Arabidopsis thaliana: one gene and its partners. The protein of the gene in region 3 binds, or shares a complex with, the protein of the main gene of each other region. Each region holds a gene or a part of one and is shown on either strand. Other genes may lie near its edges.

Region 1 (3,600 bases), on a different chromosome or scaffold from region 3:
AGCCATTCTAAGTCTCTCTTTCATCTCCCTCACTTCCTTTACGCACACAGTATCGTTGTTGCTGTTCTGTGGAGTTTCTAAACACGCTGAAACTTTTACATAAAGACTTGTTAACATGTGATGATCAATTGTAGAACGTATCCAATGAGATAATATTTCAGCCTTACCATTGAGTCTTGCACAAACTGAGTCTACTGATGATGAGACTGATTCTTCTCCTCTAAGAGAGCTTGTGGATGAAGAAATGCTCCTCCAATTCAGTCCTAAAGTTAAATCCAAGAAATCCCTTTGAGGACTCTTTGCAGCTTCCTTGATTTGTGATGTTATGCAACTCTCGACCATCGTGTTTCTTTGATTGAAAAAGTTGTATTCAAAACCAGAACTAGGTTTAGAACCATAGACCACACCAGAGAAGAGGTTACTAGGAAACTGCTCTAGCCTTTTCTTAACTGAACAATTCCAATGGTTCTTAATATTATTCTCCGTCCTGTTAGTTTTCACGAACAAGAAGGTTAGTTAAATCCACAACAATGTTTTCTTAGTTTTAAGGACAAACCTTCCAGGCAATAGCTTGGCAATCTCTGCCCATTTGTTGCCGTTTCCTCTTTGTGCTTGAACGAGAATTAATTCCTCTTCTCTAGTCCATGGAGATTTTATAATAGTCGGATTCAAATGATTATGCCACCTAAGACATAACAAAAAACCCATAATCAACATTATGGGGAAAATGTGGACTTGTCATCAAGTTCACAAACCAAATGTGAAAAGAAAGAAAAATGTAAGAAACCTTTCGCGGCATTGCTTGCCGATGCGACCAGGGAGTTCCTTTGAAATTTTTGACCATGGAGGCCTATCATTCTCCATATAATCTTTAACCAACTCACTTAAGAGTTCATCTTCCTGAATATCAAGAGACATATATGATCACTAGGTAATGAAACAACGTAACATAGCATATATTAAGAAAGGAATGCAAAAGTAGTTACCTCTTTTTTCCAAGCTCCTTTTTGGAGGCTTGGATCAAGAACCTTAAGCCAACGGTGCTGACATTGGACATCATTCCTCCTATTCTCTTCCGACCCAGGAAGGCATTCAGCTAAACCAAAGACAAGAGAAAAAAAACTCATATAGTGTATATTGGTTTTAGGGCAAATATTGATGGCTAACACATCAAAATATTATTTACCAATCCTTTTCCAGTTCCTCCCTTGGTACTTCTTCACAACATTCGTCAAAATTTGGTCCTGCATAAGATGGAAAAAAGGTTTCAGTGACACATTTATATAACTTGGACAAGACATAACAAGAGATATAAGTACCTCTTCGGCTGTCCATCCTCCTTTAGTTGATCTTCTAGTAGGACCACTCACTCTTCTGTATCTTTAACCACAAATCAAACATCACAAAGCAATCATAAGATCAAACCCTAATGACATATAAACATATATACTTAAAACTGATATTATAAATTTCCCACTAATCTTAATCATCACACATAAAAACCTTAATCACATATATATATAACACCCACCCCCAAATTCATCAAGTTGCAACAAATATAAACCAAACCACAAAATATAATTGAGGAACGAACAAGAGATGGACGAAGAGAAACATACCCTTTTGAAGAGTCATCAATTGCAAAAATAGGAGTAACGTCGTCGGTGTTGTTATCAGACTCGGACTCTGATCGATTTAAATCAATAGACTCTGTCATAAGTCTTTCAGAAATTGACAAAACCTAAAACCCTAAATAACAGCCTCAACTAACGAGAATATAGAAGAAAACAACGAGATCCTAAACTACATAACTATCTTAAACTATAAATTGAACGGACAAGAGTTTTTTCAATCGCAAAAAGTTCTAATCTATGAGAGAAAGACTTGAAATCGCTCTGTCGAGAGAAAGAGGAGAGACTGAAAAGGATTTGTCGTTCAGTAACGGCTATCCAAAAAATCTTTTTTTATGCATAAAGAGATTCTCTAGTCCATTTTTCTCTCTAAAATATTAATATTTAATTACTTTTTTTCTTGGTAAATGTTTTTTTTGTGGGATTAAGATTCTATATTATCTTTTTGATAATAAAAACAAAAATATTAGCAAAATAGAAAAGATTCACAAGATCTTTATTAGAAGAAAAGTGAATGGTATGCATAAATAAAATCCATGAAAAGTAAACCATTAATGCACAGGACACGAGTTACTCATAGTTCATATGTTAAATGGTTTTCTTATTAGCAATTAGATATGGCTCTAATATGAGCAATTGGCCACATAAGTGGACAAATGCGAATTCGAAATGATATGTACAGCTTCTGATTCTTTTAATGGAATCATATACTAAATTTTATAATTCAGACTCGTGTCATCATACATGTTCCACAAGATGAAAAATCTAACTTTCATCATCAATATTACACCAAAGCTGCTATAGAATGATTCAGATAGTATACATTGATTTATACACAAAAATATCCCAATGATATGCAGACAAAGATAAATTAAAAAACAGGTCAATCTTGCTTGCGAGTATTTGGGGAAGGAGTGTTGAGAGACAAACCAAGATCTCTACATAACTCTTCATCGGGCTGCAAGCTTCCAGGTATAGCACCAAAAGCTGTTCTGGAAGCTTCAAATCCAGACGCCAAGAAATGAATATACGCTGACATATCCTCCAAGTTTTTCCCCACACTAATCGAAGATGACGCAAACACACTTCTCTTTGACAAGTTCGAATCAGCTCTTGATAACCGGTTCAGATCAGAGACTTTTATAAACCGTTGTGTAGCAGCTTCCCATGATAGTTCATGCCTTTGTTGCTCTGTAAGTTGCGATGGTTGTTCCCCAAGAGCCTTGAGCGTGGCTCTTACAAAACCTTGTCCATCGTCATAGGTTCTGCAGTTGGGAAACTGTTTGAAGAACTTGTTCGATATGTGATTCGCGCATACTACTATTTTTCCCATCGCCAAGGCTTCTGCAGTTGTTGTACACACAACGTCTGTCGTGCTGGGGTTGAGAAACACTTTATAGCTGAAAATAGAAGATGGAAAAGTTTAAGGTATAGAATCCGATAGACTGCAAGGAAATCAATCAATCTTGAGGCTGTTAAGAACTAGAGACTTACTTGTGAAATAGCGAGTCAGCGTGATCACGTCCTGGGTAAACATTAACCGTCAAGTCGAGTTTTCGGGCTGCTTCTTTGATCTCTTCAGAGTCCTCTCCATCACCGTATAAATCAACCTCTAACTCGGCAAGTTCCTTTTGGTGTTTCTCAAGTAGTTTAAGAAGCTCCTTGTACCCTTTGCTCCAGACCATCTTACCAATGTAGTATGCGCCTTTAGTGAAGGGCTGCTCCTGGAGCTTCTGCTGTTCTAGTTTTCTCAACCCAATTTCGAGAAATTTAGGGTTGACGCCATGAACATTGCAGACTATAGATTTAGGGTATTCTTGAGTCGCAGCAGATAACCTGATTACCTGCAGGAGTAACATCATTGGTACAAGTCCTGATTCACATCAAAAGGACCGGCCATAATTGTGGTCACATTCCAACAAACTGTCTTGATTCTCAAATTAAACCCAGCCATTGGATATATTCACAT
Region 2 (3,829 bases), 6.9 Mb from region 3:
TCTTCTTCTACGGTCCAAGCATCCTTTCTAATACCAGGATTTAAATGGTTGTGCCACCTGTAATCGTAAACTCGTTGAGGCTTCCAAACTCAACGGAGGTACAGGCTCTATTCTTCAGATAGTCAATATTCTAATCTTTGTTACCTTTCTCGACATTGTTTCCCAATACGACCTGGTAAGGACTTGGCGATGACAGACCATTTGGCAGGTCCATATTTTTTTACAAGTTCAACGATTTTATCATCCTCCTACAATTCACGAAAGAAAGAGAATTTTAGAGCTACCAAATTTTTACGTAAAATGAAAACCAAAAAAAGTTTCAGAACATGAAAATGATAAGAGAACCTCTTGAGTCCAAGGTCCTTTAACAAGCTCTGGATTAAGAACTTTCTGCCACCTGTGCAAGCATTGGACTTCTGTTCTCTCTGGGAAAAATTCCGCTGTAAGATGAAATACAAAAAAATCAAACAAACAGAACATTGACCGAAACCAGCTACTTTAACATTTAAGAGACAAAAAAGAAATCATGGTTCTCTTGCAAAGTGCACAGCAGAGATCATGTTTACTGAATGAGAAAAATTCACAAAATTCTCAGCAGATTTAAGATACGAGTTCAGTTTTAAAAATGTATAAATTATACATTCAAGTATACATCAAGACAAGAGTGTGATTAGAAGACCTATAATCTCATTCTAATGTATTGCAATACTACTTTTACATTCAAGAAAAGAAATTTACCTATTTTCTTCCACCTCTTCCCCTTATACTTTTCAACTGCTCGTCTAAGTGTCTCATCCTGAATAGTGATAAAAACCAATTACAGACCACAATAAGGCTAGTCTCGTCTTTCATTCAAGTAAACACTAATCCTTATACATATAAGATACATAGTCGAATGAGGTTGCTCCACACACCAACAAAATTATGAAACAAAAGCAACCACTAACCTCCTCTGGAGTCCAACCACCTTTTGCTCGTCTCATAGGTCCACTAGTCCTCCTGCAGATCAACATTAAAACATTGCAGAAACCCAAAATGAGTTCGGTGTAAGTCATCAAAGCACAGTCTTTCCAATCAATCAATTTCATAATAAGTTGTATAAACACACAGATAGAAGATGAAATGTAAAAGATAGTAAAAGTACCGAGGAAATGAAGATACTGTGGCAGGAGTTGCGATTTCAGGTGACTTGAGGAAGAAACAGCCACTACCTTCGGATGCAGAAGAGCAAGAAGCAGCTAATGGTTGCTTATTCTCCATACATTGAATCTCAATTTTCATTTCACTTCTTTCCTCCTAAAAAACCCATATAAATCACCAAATCCAGAATTTTCGTTAAAAACATGGGATTGAGCACAAAATGAACAAGAACGTATCTTTATCAAACAAATAATCAAAAATCACAAAACCCTAAAAACTCAACGGCCGCAAAATAGAAGCCAGATCTCACAAAAAAACAAGTCGATTTCTTTCAAGCACAAGATGGATGTTTAGGGTTTATACAATTCTAATCATTAGAAACCAATTCAGACCCTTTTCCAAGACCTGTTAAAACGTGTTCCGATTCAGACCTAAAACCCCATGAACTCACACCAAAGTAGACGAAGATAACAATCTGATCACAAAAAATGAAAAGCCCTAATCAGATTTCAGGGAAAAATCTGACCTTTTCCGGTGAACAAACCGGTGGATTCGAACTTGAGCTCATCGTGATCGCCAGATAAGCGAATTCGCGAGGAAGAAGAAGAAGGGAACGTTAAAAAACAAACCAAAACTTATATTCGAAAAAAACTTTGCCCGTTGAACGAGAGAGAAGAGAGAAAGGAGAAGGAGACTAATTGGGATTAAAACAAATATTGTAACGAATACTTCTTCCGCCGACGTAACTGCTAACTGCCGTTAACCTGGAACCGGCCGGTTTATTCCAAACCGACTCAAAAGAATTGGAAGAAGCCGGTTAATTGAATTGAGAAAATGAATGTTTTTTTACGAAACTTATTAATGTGACTGGGCTAATTAATTAATTATAATATTCTTTCGGATAAAAACGAAAACAACGAGTTTAATTCGTGGTTGGATAAAACCGGTTATCTAAAATCAAACTATAACCGAAAATGGTGACAAGAAACCACAGGGGGACTTAACGGACGTTAAAAGTAGAAGAAAGGTTGACGTTGGAAATAAAAGTTTCAACCTCAAACGGCACTCTTTAGCTGATGCGTTGACCATTGTACACGTCGGCAAATCAGAGGTCCTCAATGATTATGGACCGTCGGATCATTAAGATAACTCATTCTGGTTTTTTTTTTTACTGTAGTTTCTTAAGCGAGAACAGTCCGAATTGGCCCATAATTTAAAGCCCAAAGGCCGAGATATAATTAATCAGTCGAGGTTTTTGGGTAAGAAGAAGATATAGAAAATTACAATTCGTTTTAGTAAAAGAAAAGATTACACAAAAACGTAAACAACCAGACAACAAGAAGATTGAGCAAATGGGGAACTAGAAGAAGTTAAGAATCCAAAAGTATTACAATACGTTTTAATAGAAGAAACATATTACAAAACGTAGACAAGCAAATGGGGAGTGAAATATAGCGAATAAGGGACGACGAAGCACCGGCGATGATGACATCTAATCCATCGAACAACTGTAAGAGCAAAATGTCATGTCATGCCAATTGAAAATTACTTTGTGTGGACAACGATCTTCTTTATGAAGTTGGCAGAATGGTCGAGTCATGGTATTGTTGGGAAGAATATAAATGTTTGACCTATAAGCCATTACAGTATGACCAGGATTCAACATATACATCTCTTTTCCAAGCAAACAATCAACATGGAGAGTGGTGCAGCAGTCATCACACGCATAGAACCCACCTTCTCTTGAGTATTCTAATTTCTTTTCGCATACCTCACACCAGTCTAACTGATCACTTCCCTCTTCCCCTTCCCGAAATGTGAGGAAATGTTTGTCAAGCTTATACTTTGCCTTGTATGGTAAAGTAGCACAACTGAAACATATAATATAATTGCATTCGATGCAATTTAGTTTTCGACCATACTTTTTTCGGCAAATTTGACAAATTGCCTCCCTTTCTTCTTTTCGGTCTAAAGCTTGGAATAAGGGATGCTCATGGCCTTGATAATCAAATGGTTCAGAAACAGAGGCACACCGTATGTCTATGCTGTATTGATCCTCCTCATAGATGAAGCCACAACTTTCACGATCACAAGCGGAACACCTGAAGTAACCTTTAAAGTATTCATTCTGTATATCAGAGACAACTTTTAGCGTAAGTGGGTGACTGTGTAAGGCATGATCTTTCTTGCGAGAAGCATTTGCACATGCTTCGTGGAGGATGAAGTTGCATTGATCCATACACGAGTAATAATTACCCTCATAGATTGGAAGGATGCACGCTTGACAAATAATGTTTTCGTTGTAAACTCCACTGGTCTTGAGTTTCAGATGATGGCCATGAGAAAAATGGAGTATTATTCCATCAGCTATCGTCTCAAATGGCTCGAGAATTATTTCAGGTTCTTCAGGTACTCCCTCGAGATCCTTTCCATCCCACAAGTCTTCCCGTAACGCACATCTTGTATGAACAAAATAGTGGCTACACTTGTTGCAAGTGTATGCACCACAATTGTTGTCAACCTTTTTACGACATACTCCACAAGACCATTTTCCAGATGGAAGAGAAGAGGTAAAAGAGATACGGTGTTGGTGACGACATATTTTAATGACATACGGGAAATAGATACAATCTCGATGGGCTACAAAGATACATCGAAGACACACATAGGTGGGGAAAGCTTCTTTAAT
Region 3 (3,829 bases):
AATAAAACTGGTGATAATACTGAGCATTGCATAACAGAGTTCGCAGTGAAATGTGCAATGAAAAGGTAAAGAATATATAGGCATGTTCTGTACCTGTAGGTTAGCTATGCTTTCGATTGTTTCTCCTGGTTTTGAGACATCGAGACCCCTAAGACAGACAAGAAAATTCAGAGTACTGTCGCTCACACATGAGTCATCAAATGGAAGGAATCCAAGATTTGACAGTTCTAAGACATGCTTACTTCCACTGAATCCTGTTCTTAAGCGTCTTCTCTATCAAACCTATTCCTTCTAACACATTGGTTATATCATATATCCTTCTCTTTTGTACCTGCATCAACAGGAACATACAGCTAAGTTTGACAGAAAGTAATACATCAATATGGGAGTCTAGAGTTCAAATATGTCACCTCTAAAGTATCAGCTGCTTTGTTTAGATCAAGAATACCATCCTCTGCTTGTTTTATCAAATTGATAAATTTCTTTGTCAAAAGACCTGAAGCAGATTAAATCATTAAAAAAACTTATTATCCAAAAGTACATTTTTTAAACATTAGTTAATGAAATAAGTTATTACCTAACGAACTATCATATCGACAAGTACCGGCCTGTGCAAAGTTATTTCCAGGAGAACCTGCCAACACAAAAGATCCTTCTCACTACATTGCAATATCTCCACTCTTTAAAGAAGATTTAGCTCAGATGAGCACATAAGAAATATTTCTCATTGGCATACTAACACAGAGCATTTAGAACCAAACTCACCTGCATTAGAGCCAGAAGCTAGCGTTCCAGACTTATTAGACTTCGCAGACCTAGAAGTTTTCTTGGCTTTCCCCCCTTTCCCTGATACAGGTGTTTGAAGAACACCGGTATTCAATTCATTGACCTCAACTATTTGGTTTACCAAATCTGTCTTACGCTTCAGCTGCCAATAAAGTCACCAAAATTGAACAGTTAAATACATCAACGAATTGAACAGAATCAAATCCTATCAGCATCATACTGTCACTATGCTGAAATCTAAAAGCATAGACACAACTTTTACCAATTCCAACATAGCAAAATTCAGAAACTAATTTAACTAAACATAAACACAAAAGTGCATGAATCTGCTCTAAATAGCAATAACAGTAACACCACAAACCCTAAGTCCAGCAACTAAACTACTCAATAAGTACTTGCAATGCTAATTCCAATACTACAAACAAGGTTAATCAAAAGAGACCAAACGCAATTAACACCAACAGAAGCAGATCCCGACACAATTCTCATCAAAATCTAAAGCAACGACATCATCAAAATCATAATCAATAAAACCAAACCTCACACACAATCGAAAACACGAGAATTATAAAGCAAAATTCACAAGCAAAATTGAGAAGAAAAAAGACTTACAGTAGATTTGATCACAATCGCGTCAGAGACAACCTGATCAGCAACAGCTCCACCACCGCGAGTCTCCGCCGCATCAAACCGGTGATACTCACCAGGAGCAACTAGAGGAGGCTTCATAGAAGAAAGAGAAGGATGAAGCTGCCGCTTAGAAGATGGGAATTGTTGAGGTACTTCTTCAGACATAAGAACGAATCTCGATAAAAAATCCCCCAAAAAAAAAAAGAAACGGCGAAAATTGTCACGGAAACTCGGATCTCCGGTAAGCAGAGATCCCAATAACGATTAAGAAGCAGATCTACGGCGGGAATTACGGAGATTCCGGGAAGAGAATGTGAAGAGATCGGCGAATCGAAAAAAAGCGGGAGAGGAGAAGAAGATGAAGAAGAGGAAGGATTATAAAAAAAAAAAAAAAAAGAGACGGTGGAAGAGGAAGAGAGAAAACGAGGGAATGAGTTGCGTTTGGTTCTGAATACTGATGTGGAGGGAATTAGCGCTCTTTATCTCTCTCTTTGTACACAAATCTTTTTACCAATATCTCTCTACTAAATAATAATAATCCTATTTTTATATATAATACAAAATTATAAAATTTTAAGTAAGTTTTTTTTTTTTTAAAGTCAACGAAGTTAATAAAGCTATGTAACTAATTTGGATACAGTTTTATTTCCTTGAGATTGAGGGGAAAAAAATGAATTTTGGATTTATTCATGTTAAGAAGTGGAGCATAATAATTTCATCAAACTGTTGCAGCATCCGTTACACGCGTTAAGTGTGAGCAATTATCGTCAAAATCTGTCGAACTTATACGTTTTTTTGTTTTTAATTCATAGGTGAGGCAAAACTATATTGATGAAAATTATGCTCATGAGTGTCTCATCATTTAACAACTTTTTTAAATGGAACCTCGAAACATAGGGATTCCAAATCATAGCACCAAGACAATAGAAACATGTGTCGTCTGAATGCAGACACTTGGATCTCTTATGAATGCTATACTGTTTAGAGAAGATAATATATATTTATAGACTGAGCTTCCAAAACACAAGCTTTAAGTATGACTGTATGAGTAATCAAAAAAGATACTAAGACTTTGAAAGCTTCATACATAACAAACAGAGACAACAATAGAAGAACCCCTTTTTACTTGAACAAATGGGCAAGATCAGGGTCATCTAAATCTACATCAAGCGATCCATTTAACCGCATAAACTCGATGTAGCTATCTGGAGGAGTGATCGCACGAGTGTTGTTCTTCGGTTTGAATCCATGAACTCTCTGGAGATCTCTTGCGAGCCAACGCAGAAAAACTTTGTCCAATGGAGGTACAATCTTCAAATGGATCTCTTCGCGTTCTTCTTTCACCGTTGTAGCTTTGTTTCCCATCTTGCAAAACCCGATCTTTACATACATCATATATAGTATCGTCACATTGTCCAAACCACAAAAACAAGTTATCTAGTCAACAAGATGATTATGCAACACTTTTAGCAGATGCATTTTGGGATTAACACTTAACACAATCTATAATTTCTCCATGCACACCAATATTGCAAGTGTGTAACATTTACATGTTCGGATGCAAATTATCTCGTGAATAACACAATCGTCAATTCGTCATAACCATCTAAAAGGAGAGACTAAAAAGTTCTATAGAAGCTATACACTAACCTTAAGGACCATCAAAACCTTAATTAAGAGACCAAACTATTATACATCAACCAAGTAATCATCTCAGCGTCCATTTTTAAAGCTATCTTTGTTCCACTATGTCCAAGAATCATAAGATCCTCGAGCAAATAAATTGTACAAGATGAGACATCTATGAACCACCAATTCAAGGTCAATTCTTCAAGATGATTAACATGATAATATCAATTAGAAATCAACTCATTCATGAATACTAAGTCTACATTTAAAACCCCTAAATCAATGAGAAAACTGGAGAAATTACTTCAAATTTCTATCATCACTATATACCCAAAAAATCAGGTAAAATCCTAGCCAGCAAATTAAGCTTAGCGATATGATATAGATTCAAGAGATTTTACCTTTTTCAATCAGAGAGACAAAACATCAGAAACCGAAAGTGAGTCGAAGAATTTCTGACCAGACAGACACTATAGAGCGTTTTGCAGAGCTAAACCAATGTCGTATCGCTAGCTGTATGTCATTTTCTGGGTTAAGCCTAGTAACATAAAAAGCCCATTAGCTTTCACTTTTTCTTTGGGCCAACTGTTATGGTTTAAATGTGGAAACATAGCGACGAATGCTCAAAAAGGTGAACTACACTCTACAGAGACTACAAGTGTGGGTTTAGTTGCAAAGTGACTAAGTTTGTTGACGAATATTCGCTATAGTAATCATCTTTTTTTCCTTTTTTTGCTTTATGAATTTGTAAAACCAAAATTTTATGAAATCACAAAAGTTCTAA

What was found.
Region 1: E2F1 (region 3) and MYB3R2 share a complex: the UniProt entries of both Arabidopsis thaliana proteins name them as parts of the DREAM-like complex.
Region 2: E2F1 (region 3) and MYB3R-5 share a complex: the UniProt entries of both Arabidopsis thaliana proteins name them as parts of the DREAM-like complex.

Annotation. Positions count from the first base shown.
Region 1 is NC_003075.7:235,640-239,239, forward strand, and holds the start of MYB3R2 (myb domain protein 3r2), read right to left. Parts: upstream 1,944-3,600; 5' UTR 1,718-1,943; coding exon 1,620-1,717; intron 1,381-1,619; coding exon of another isoform or gene 1,375-1,380; coding exon 1,320-1,374; intron 1,245-1,319; coding exon 1,187-1,244; intron 1,097-1,186; coding exon 987-1,096; intron 901-986; coding exon 788-900; intron 686-787; coding exon 557-685; intron 488-556; coding exon 168-487; intron 93-167; coding exon of another isoform or gene 87-92; coding exon 1-86. Other genes in the region: DGD2 (digalactosyl diacylglycerol deficient 2), read right to left, coding at 2,515-3,031, 3,126-3,475. UniProt on the Arabidopsis thaliana protein: Transcription factor that binds 5'-AACGG-3' motifs in gene promoters. Required for proper circadian rhythm.
Region 2 is NC_003076.8:484,640-488,468, forward strand, and holds the start of MYB3R-5 (myb domain protein 3r-5), read right to left. Parts: upstream 1,835-3,829; 5' UTR 1,709-1,834; coding exon 1,667-1,708; intron 1,297-1,666; coding exon 1,145-1,296; intron 1,026-1,144; exon of another isoform or gene 1,014-1,025; coding exon of another isoform or gene 1,000-1,013; coding exon 948-999; intron 797-947; coding exon 739-796; intron 441-738; coding exon 346-440; intron 249-345; coding exon 145-248; intron 58-144; coding exon 1-57. Other genes in the region: AT5G02330 (Cysteine/Histidine-rich C1 domain family protein), read right to left, coding at 2,633-3,829. UniProt on the Arabidopsis thaliana protein: Transcription factor that binds 5'-AACGG-3' motifs in gene promoters. Transcription repressor that regulates organ growth.
Region 3 is NC_003076.8:7,358,501-7,362,329, reverse strand, and holds the start of E2F1 (E2F transcription factor 1), read right to left. Parts: upstream 1,796-3,829; 5' UTR 1,582-1,795; coding exon 1,399-1,581; intron 929-1,398; coding exon 766-928; intron 635-765; coding exon 578-634; intron 497-577; coding exon 411-496; intron 332-410; coding exon 243-331; intron 149-242; coding exon 94-148; intron 1-93. Other genes in the region: AT5G22210 (aspartyl/glutamyl-tRNA (Asn/Gln) amidotransferase subunit B), read right to left, coding at 2,539-2,781. UniProt on the Arabidopsis thaliana protein: Transcription activator that binds DNA cooperatively with DP proteins through the E2 recognition site, 5'-TTTC[CG]CGC-3' found in the promoter region of a number of genes whose products are involved in cell cycle regulation or in DNA replication.